Daphnia pulex: one gene and its partner. Each later gene encodes a partner of the first gene's protein in a complex. Links are inferred from orthologs where the notes say so. Each region holds a gene or a part of one and is shown on either strand. Other genes may lie near its edges.

What was found.
Region 2: syntaxin-18-like (region 1) and vesicle transport through interaction with t-SNAREs homolog 1B-like share a complex: the UniProt entries of both Homo sapiens proteins name them as parts of the SNARE complex. The link is inferred for Daphnia pulex from reciprocal best matches to the Homo sapiens genes STX18 and VTI1B.

Annotation. Positions count from the first base shown.
Region 1 is NC_060027.1:1,471,552-1,476,108, reverse strand, and holds the start of syntaxin-18-like, read left to right. Parts: upstream 1-1,552; 5' UTR 1,553-1,585; intron 1,586-2,295; exon of another isoform or gene 2,296-2,422; intron 2,423-2,497; exon of another isoform or gene 2,498-2,552; coding exon of another isoform or gene 2,553-2,583; intron 2,584-2,644; coding exon of another isoform or gene 2,645-2,856; intron 2,857-2,969; coding exon of another isoform or gene 2,970-3,134; intron 3,135-3,294; coding exon of another isoform or gene 3,295-3,669; intron 3,670-3,781; coding exon of another isoform or gene 3,782-3,900; intron 3,901-3,995; coding exon of another isoform or gene 3,996-4,161; intron 4,162-4,252; coding exon of another isoform or gene 4,253-4,366; intron 4,367-4,446; coding exon of another isoform or gene 4,447-4,557. Other genes in the region: F-box-like/WD repeat-containing protein TBL1X, read left to right, coding at 2,553-2,583, 2,645-2,856, 2,970-3,134, 3,295-3,669, 3,782-3,900, 3,996-4,161, 4,253-4,366, 4,447-4,557. UniProt on the Homo sapiens protein: Syntaxin that may be involved in targeting and fusion of Golgi-derived retrograde transport vesicles with the ER.
Region 2 is NC_060018.1:4,117,997-4,121,004, forward strand, and holds vesicle transport through interaction with t-SNAREs homolog 1B-like, read left to right. Parts: upstream 1-1,298; 5' UTR 1,299-1,412; coding exon 1,413-1,636; intron 1,637-1,723; coding exon 1,724-2,186; 3' UTR 2,187-2,296; downstream 2,297-3,008. Other genes in the region: uncharacterized protein LOC124189006, read left to right, coding at 1-19, 187-346, 635-1,135; homer protein homolog 2-like, read left to right, coding at 2,508-2,512. UniProt on the Homo sapiens protein: V-SNARE that mediates vesicle transport pathways through interactions with t-SNAREs on the target membrane. These interactions are proposed to mediate aspects of the specificity of vesicle trafficking and to promote fusion of the lipid bilayers.

The DNA of each region.
Region 1 (4,557 bases):
GGTTGAATTGGATTCGCTCATTTGTAGCTATGATTAGGAAACGGCTGATATTAAACGAAATAGAACTAAACGATACGTCAACTAGCAAACTATTCAAGAAACGTTTGGTGAGTGCCCGACTCTCACTCGTAAGACCCATACAGTTTGTCAGAAGGAGATTTTGGATATAATGTATCGAGTATTGTCTGGAACGAAGAATTAAAACTGTTGGTCACCAGTTCAGACGATATTTGGATCAAGGTGTGTCCCAGAATTTAAATGGTTATTTAGAATTGAATGTTTAACTCCTTCACTTTCAAATAATTGAACGCAGAATTGGTAATTGGAAAGAGAGGATCCCAATATCCCATACGCATGATAGAATCCAGTTCTTCTTGTTGCGAATAAATTTGGAGTCCAATTCCCATCCAGCGTAATCGTGCAAAGAGCGAAGGAAAAACCTTTTTTAGTCGGGTCAGATTTCATTCATCTAATATCCCAGTGTCCCAAATCGATTATTTAATTAAGCGTAAGAGCTCAATCGCCTTTTTCTGATCTTTTTTCAGAGGGTTAGATAACGGATCAATTTTTGTTTGGTCGCCAACGGAAAAGGAAATACAACCAAGTTTGTTTTTCGATTGACATTCCCACGATTTGCATAAAATCTTATTTTCGCCAAACAGACGCTTTCTGGCATCGACCGGCTATGAAGGAAAATTGGTTATCTGGTCCACCAAGGTAAATTTGAAGGTAAAACGAGTGAAAGACTGGATGTCTTAAATTTCTCGCAAGGTGTTTAGAACTGGGAACAGATCATGACACCTTTTACCACCATCAGGGTTTCACCACCGGTGCCCAAGCCCAAAACTCTCAAACTAAACCTGCTCAAATAAAACAAACAACAAAAGTAATATCCACCAACAACGTAAAAATAATAAAATAAACTTTCACGAGGAAGCAATGTAGACTCACCATGAAAAGAAACCTCATGGGATGCATATTCTGATGTCTGTCGAAAAAAGATATAAACTGACTGGCACTGCATGGTGCAAAACCCTCCTACAATCCTTTCGTGCCATAGTTGATATTGTCATTTAGTGAAACAGTTCACAAATAGTTACCTTTCATCAAGTACCCAACACGTTACAATTCTAGAATAAGTCAGGCGCCATATTTTTCGTACAAATACTGCAGACAAAGGGATGTTTACCTCATCAGCATGTGTGTCACTTCCAGCCTGGTGCAGATTCAATTCACCACCGAAAATGTTGGTCACAGATTTTGCAAAGGAATCACAATGAACAGTACAATCTTTAAAGTAATATCACGCTGCTCAACACAAATGAAGACGATGGATGCACACTTTCGAACATTGTTCACTGTTCAGTGAACTTGTGAAGTAATGGCAGTAATGGTGTGCTCTCGAAGACGAATAGCTCGTCGTTCATGGGAATGGCGCCAAAGAAAAAAATACATTGCAACGAACTTGGCAAACGACTGGTAGATGGCGGACTAAGTTCCACAACAAACTGACGACGAGGACGTTTGAAAAATAGAACGGCTGTTGAGTGTTGGCAGATTTTTGCTCAAAAATCATTGTCAAACGGTAAGTTAAACAAATAAATTATAAAGAATATACATTACTTATTCAAATCAAAATATTTGTTGTTGGAAACACCGATCATGATGGATATCACGTCCCTGTTCAAGGTCTCCATCAAGACGGTCCGGACACGCAATAAAGCTAGCTGAAAACTGAAGACCCAAATTGCATTTTCCCACGACCATCCAAACATTTTTCAAAATTCCAAACGAAAGCCAAAGAGATTGTCTCAAATGTGGCCAAGTTGAAAGAGTTTTAGACAGCTAGAATTGAAAAGCAATCACGCTCGTGATGTGAGTGAACGGATTAGATAAACAAAATACCGTGATATCGGCAAAAGAGATGCCTATCAATGGACTCTGAGAAAGTTGTTATAATGTATCATTGGTTGTTGAAAGATAATTGAAATCAATTAAGTTGTCGGGAAAATGAAAAGACACGAGTTTTTCAAGTTTACTTTCTTTTGGGGTTATTTCAGTGGGTAAAAAAAATATAGTGGGTGTGGAGAGGAAAGTCGTATGGTGTGAGGTAAGGGGAGTGAGAAAAGATTTTTGTCAAAGGATTAGTCAAAATGCAGTTGCGTATCGAAAATTACAGCTATTTTAGCAACCTCGAGACAAGTTTGAAAAACAAAAAAGATTCCAGACAGAAAAAGTCAAGGTAAATTTTCCTACGACCCCGTTCAAATCCACCCCCTTCTTACCCCCTTGAACGTTTCTCTTTTGTTTTTCAGTTTTACTTTTCCAGTTCCATCTTCTTTAATTGCCACTTCAGTTTCAACATTCTTCGAGGCATCGTGCTGCCAGTCTCTTTAAATATTACTCATCTATCTGCGCATCGGTGAAATTTTTAAGATTCTAAACTCTATGGATATTCCAGCTTTAACGCTGTAAAATAATGTTTCGTTCATTTTAGTTCGCTACTTCTAAACGTGGTTTTACACTTCCGTTCGTCACTAAGGAGAGAGAAAATGACAGATGCTGTAAACTCACCAGGGAAAGGTAAGACAAATATTTATAAACTTGTCCATCGTTTTTAATCAATGTCTGATGTCCCATCCAGGTTTTTTCAAACCAGTTGAGTTCTCAATTACGAGTAAACTAGATGTGAGAAGTTCCAGTTTCCACCCCATCGATCCTGTTCTGGCGTGCGGCTTAGTTCAAGGAGGATTAGTTTTCCTTCGGGGAACTAATCACTCCACACCGTTTGAGAATTGGGAGATTGAACCCGTATACAGCCGATACGAAAGGACAATTTTATCCGTCCAATGGAACGTAAGTCTGTGAATCAAATAATTGTGTCCGTGTTTCACCCCATCAAAATCGTGTGCTAAATGTTACAGTGTTAATCCTAAGTTTCTATTTTTGTTTTTCTGTTTGGCGTAAAGGTCAATGGAACTAAAGTAGCTGCTGGCTCCGATAATGGGACTGTCATTATTGTGTCTTATCCAGGCTGTGGCAAACAAACATTCCGAAGAAATGGACGATCGAATTTCCCGTTAATTTTTTGGCATCCATTTAACCGGGACATGTTGGCTAGTTATAACAGTGCGGTAAGTGAAAAAAAAAAAACAATATTCATGTGCTAACTTAGTAGTTTGTTTAAGTAATGCGGGAAGGGAGAATTTCAAATTAAAAGTCGGTGTACACGAGAAACATTCACATTAATTTATTGTTCACCAGAAATTTTAAGTTTTAAAATTGTATCTCAAGTTGGACACAAACGAGGTGATGATTGCCAATTCAGCAGCTGAAAACCTCCTCACCCACACCATCAAATCAAAATGGAACTGTCAGACCCTGGCCTGGAACTCGCACAATCAACTCGCCTTTGGTTACGACGATGGAACGTTTGAAATTCACGAAATAGAATTGAATAACAGTCAAATGAAAAGCCGAATGGTCCAGAAAATCCGTCACGATCTGGGTGATCATGACAAAGCTGTTCACCATTTTTCGCTTATGAATTCCAGGGACAATTTTTCGCTTATGAACTACCAGGGCCAAACACGAACTTTCGTATCGAGTATCGCCATTAACAAAGAATTTGAACTTTTGGCTTCAGGTGGAACAGACTTTCGAGTCAAGGTATTAGAACTACATACGTTATATTTATTGGATTTTAATAGTCGATAGACAATTATTATTGTCTAAGTTTTTAAATTTAAATGAGTCAATATTTAAACAATTTTAATTGCAGATTTGGTCATTGGGCAGTAAAGATCCTATTCTTGTGTTGGATGTCGATTCCAATTGCAGAAATTTGGTATGGAATTCTGGCATCAAAGAAGAGATGACGACAAAAACTTTTATTGCATGGTTAGACTGCCTAGATTATTTTAATCAAGTTTTAAAAGATGCAAGTTTAAATTGACATTCTAATAACCACAGCTTTTTAATTGGCTTTTATTCAGCGGATTAGAAAGTGGAAACGTTGTAATTTGGTATCCATTTGATCATGAAATTCAGACACGAAAACTTACAGGACATGATCAGATCCATCAATTAATACTTTCACCTGACGGACGCTATCTCGCAACAACAGACTATTACAAGAAAGTGATTATTTGGTCTACAAAGGTAAAATATTTTTGATAGAAATTCTTAGTTGGATCAAACGCGACTCACGTACATTCTTTTCCCGCAATTTCTTTTTTAAATGAATTTTCAGAGTTGGAAGAGCATATACATTATACCCTCATCAGAGTATATGTATCCATACATGATGACATGGGACGCGGCCAGTTGCAAGCTAGCAATTTCAGAGAGAACAGGACAGAGACAGGTAAAATAATGCGTTTCATTCATCCAAATTTCAACAAATTAATGTTAATAAATAACTTCTCATCTCTGTGATTCAAACAGTTTAAAGTGATTGAATACTTCGTTGCCGAAAACTGCTGTGCTGGCTGCAAGAAAATGTCTCAAAATCTAAAGCGTTGCGCTCGCTGCAATTCAATCTTCTATTGTAGCAAG
Region 2 (3,008 bases), on another chromosome or scaffold:
AGGTTATCAGACGACCAAGGCAAGCTTTCTTTTTAATCTTTATTATTGATTAATTAATGATGAAAACCACATTTAGAGCATTGGGTTATGAATCTTTGTGATTAGCAAATTAATCTGAACGCAGTTTATCATTCAAGTGATACTGTCTGGTGCAAAGATGACTAATCGATACAATTTAAATTACAGGAAGATGATCCGTCGTGCATCTGTTAAGCGCAATCCTCTTACCAACATGAGAGCATTGATGAAGTTGAACCCGTACTCCGCCGTGATTAAGAAGTCTGCCGCTGCTGTTGCTGAGGCCCGGAAGAAGAGCAAGACTGCTTTGCTCGAGAAGAAGCGCGAGGTAATTTTGTTTTCTGTGAATGTTTGTATGTCTTAGATAGTTTTTCGTTTGATTTCTGTTTGAATTGTTAAAATTGTATTACCGCATGTGAACGTAACTTAATGCATGCCACATTGTTTAACATGTACAGGCGAGTGCTACCAAGAAGGTAGCTGCCTAGCCTGCGAGTGAGCGCACACAGCATGGTTTATTGAGCTAATCAACAGATGTTTTTGGTGAGTTGTCCATCGTAGTGAGAATCTGATTTGGAAAATAGTCCAAGTTCTAATTTGTATATCCATTCTACAGTCAGTAGTACCCGTACCAAATTTACCTGTTGAAAAGCCGAAAGAAGAAGCGCCCGTTCAAGCACCGGTCCAAGATGTCAAACCAACTCAACCTCCTCCTGTTGAAACCCCTAAGCCAACACCACCAGAAACAAAGAAAAGCAAGAAATCCAAGACGGCTGCAAAGGATTTGCAAGTAGAACCGATGGATGTAACACCCGCGTCCGTTGTTGAGGTGAAGACTGCCCTAGCTCCAGCTAAGGAACCATCTCCGCCAATCGTTACCATCCCTGAACCTGTAGTTAAGGTGGTAACACCAGTCGCTACTCCTGTAAAAGGAAAATCGCCACCAGTCGTTCCTGCCCCAACACCGATTGCTGTCCCGGAAGTGAAGCCGTTGGAAAAGGTTCTTGCTGCTCCCGTTGAAGCTATCCCATTAGAAGAAGCTTCTGTTCCCGAATCAGCTGCTGATAAGGGATCGAAAGCCAAGAAAGCAAAGGGGAAGAAAAATAAGAAGGAATGAGTGACATCATTGAACCTGTGCCTGTATGACGTTTTTTCTGTGACATCTGAATAAACCTTCTGCAGGCTGAAATGTGTTTAATTTATCTTAATAATTAGCTATTAAATGTAAATGTCATGGAAATGCTAATTCTCGCCGTTTGTGGCGCTGTCTTCAATGTTTTGTCAGATGGTGTTTTATACGTCAAGTCTACAATACATTCCTTGTCTTCGTCCTGATAGCAAGGTATCGTATGTAGTGCTCAAATAGGTTCAGAATTGTGCTACAAGAAACAGAAATGAGCTCAGAGAAATTTGAAACTCTGGATGAAGATGTACAAGTTTTGTTCGAAATTCTGCAAAGAAAGTGTTCCGGTAAGCTAGAACAATGTTTTGGCGAAGAAAAAAAGCAAGTTATTGCCGATGTCGAAAGAGGACTAGATGAAGCTAAACAAGCAATATTTGAAATGGAAGCTGAAGCTAGAGCAGCTCCTGGCTCTTTTAGGATGGACATGATTGGCAGGTAAAAATGTGAATGTCTTAAGTTTACACAGCAAACAATACATGTAGTAAAATTTCAACTAATGTTTTTTTTATCATCCAACTTCAGAGTACGAAGACATCAGGACACCTGTTCCAAACTTGCTCTATTGATCAATTCTTCCAAGCAATCAGAAATGTCTCTGGCCTCATCAAGAGGAAAACTGTTGGAAAACCAATCCACTGCTGCATTTAGCCAAAACCGGGGCATTGATAATGCTCTTCAAACAACTGTTCGCCAAGGAACTGCAGTTCTGGAAAGAACATCACAGAGCCTCTACAGAACTACTCAGGTTGCTTTAGAAAGTGAAGAGATTGGCACTGGAGTTATTCAAGAATTAAGTCAACAAAGAGAAGTGCTTGTTCGTACAAGAGATAGATTGACTGAAACGGATGCAGAGCTGGGAAGAAGTAGAAGAATCCTTAAGTCAATGTCTCGTGTTGCTATGACTAATAAGCTTGTCCTAATTGTCATCATTCTGTTGGAGATATGCATTTTGACAGGTTTAGTTTATTATAAATTTTTTTCTTGAAATTATTGTCCTCAAATTCTTAACATACCTCATCAAAAATGTAACTAATAGTGTTAGTGCCTTGAATTTGTGTAAAAGCCGATACAAAAATATAATCATGCGCATAGCGACCAGTATTTTTTTCCCCTTGCGTGCGCAAAGGATTTCCTAGCGGCCTTCGTACGCAGACGGAGTTACGAACCCAACCTCTGGCTTTCAGTTCCATTTGACAGAAGCTCTTCCTGTGTCATGGCGTGCTATACGTGTATTTAAAGTTTTTGCGTTTGCCAACGAAATCTGAGATTTTTCTAAGTTGTTCGTGCTTCGACATCGACAGTTAAAATGGGGTAAGTTGTGCATTTATTGATTCTGTATAGTCTTAAATGAAAAATCGATTCGTACCATATATCCACGTAGCAACAGCTGGATGCTGAGCACCACTGTCAAGTCTGAATTCAAATTTACTGTAATTAAAAGGGTATATGTTTCAAATATTTGTATTTTGGACTATGGAATTAGACAAATAAGAATTTTCCATTAGGGTGTATAAATACCATTAAGCTAAAGTGTAAATCAATATTGAAGTCACAGACTCACTGAAGTGTCCCGTCATTCAAATGTTAAAAAAGATTTTATTAATATCTTGGCTGTAAATATAGCATTCATATTTTCAAACTAATAAGCTAAGCTGCATCCAAGTTTTCAACCTGTACTAAATTCTAAAGTTGTATTGAGCTAAACTTCGAAGCTGAATGACTTGTGCCTCTAGCTACAGCCCAGAAGGATTGTTGCGAAATGTTATTCTCAACTCAAGCAATAGATTGTTGCTTTAGGTGATACATC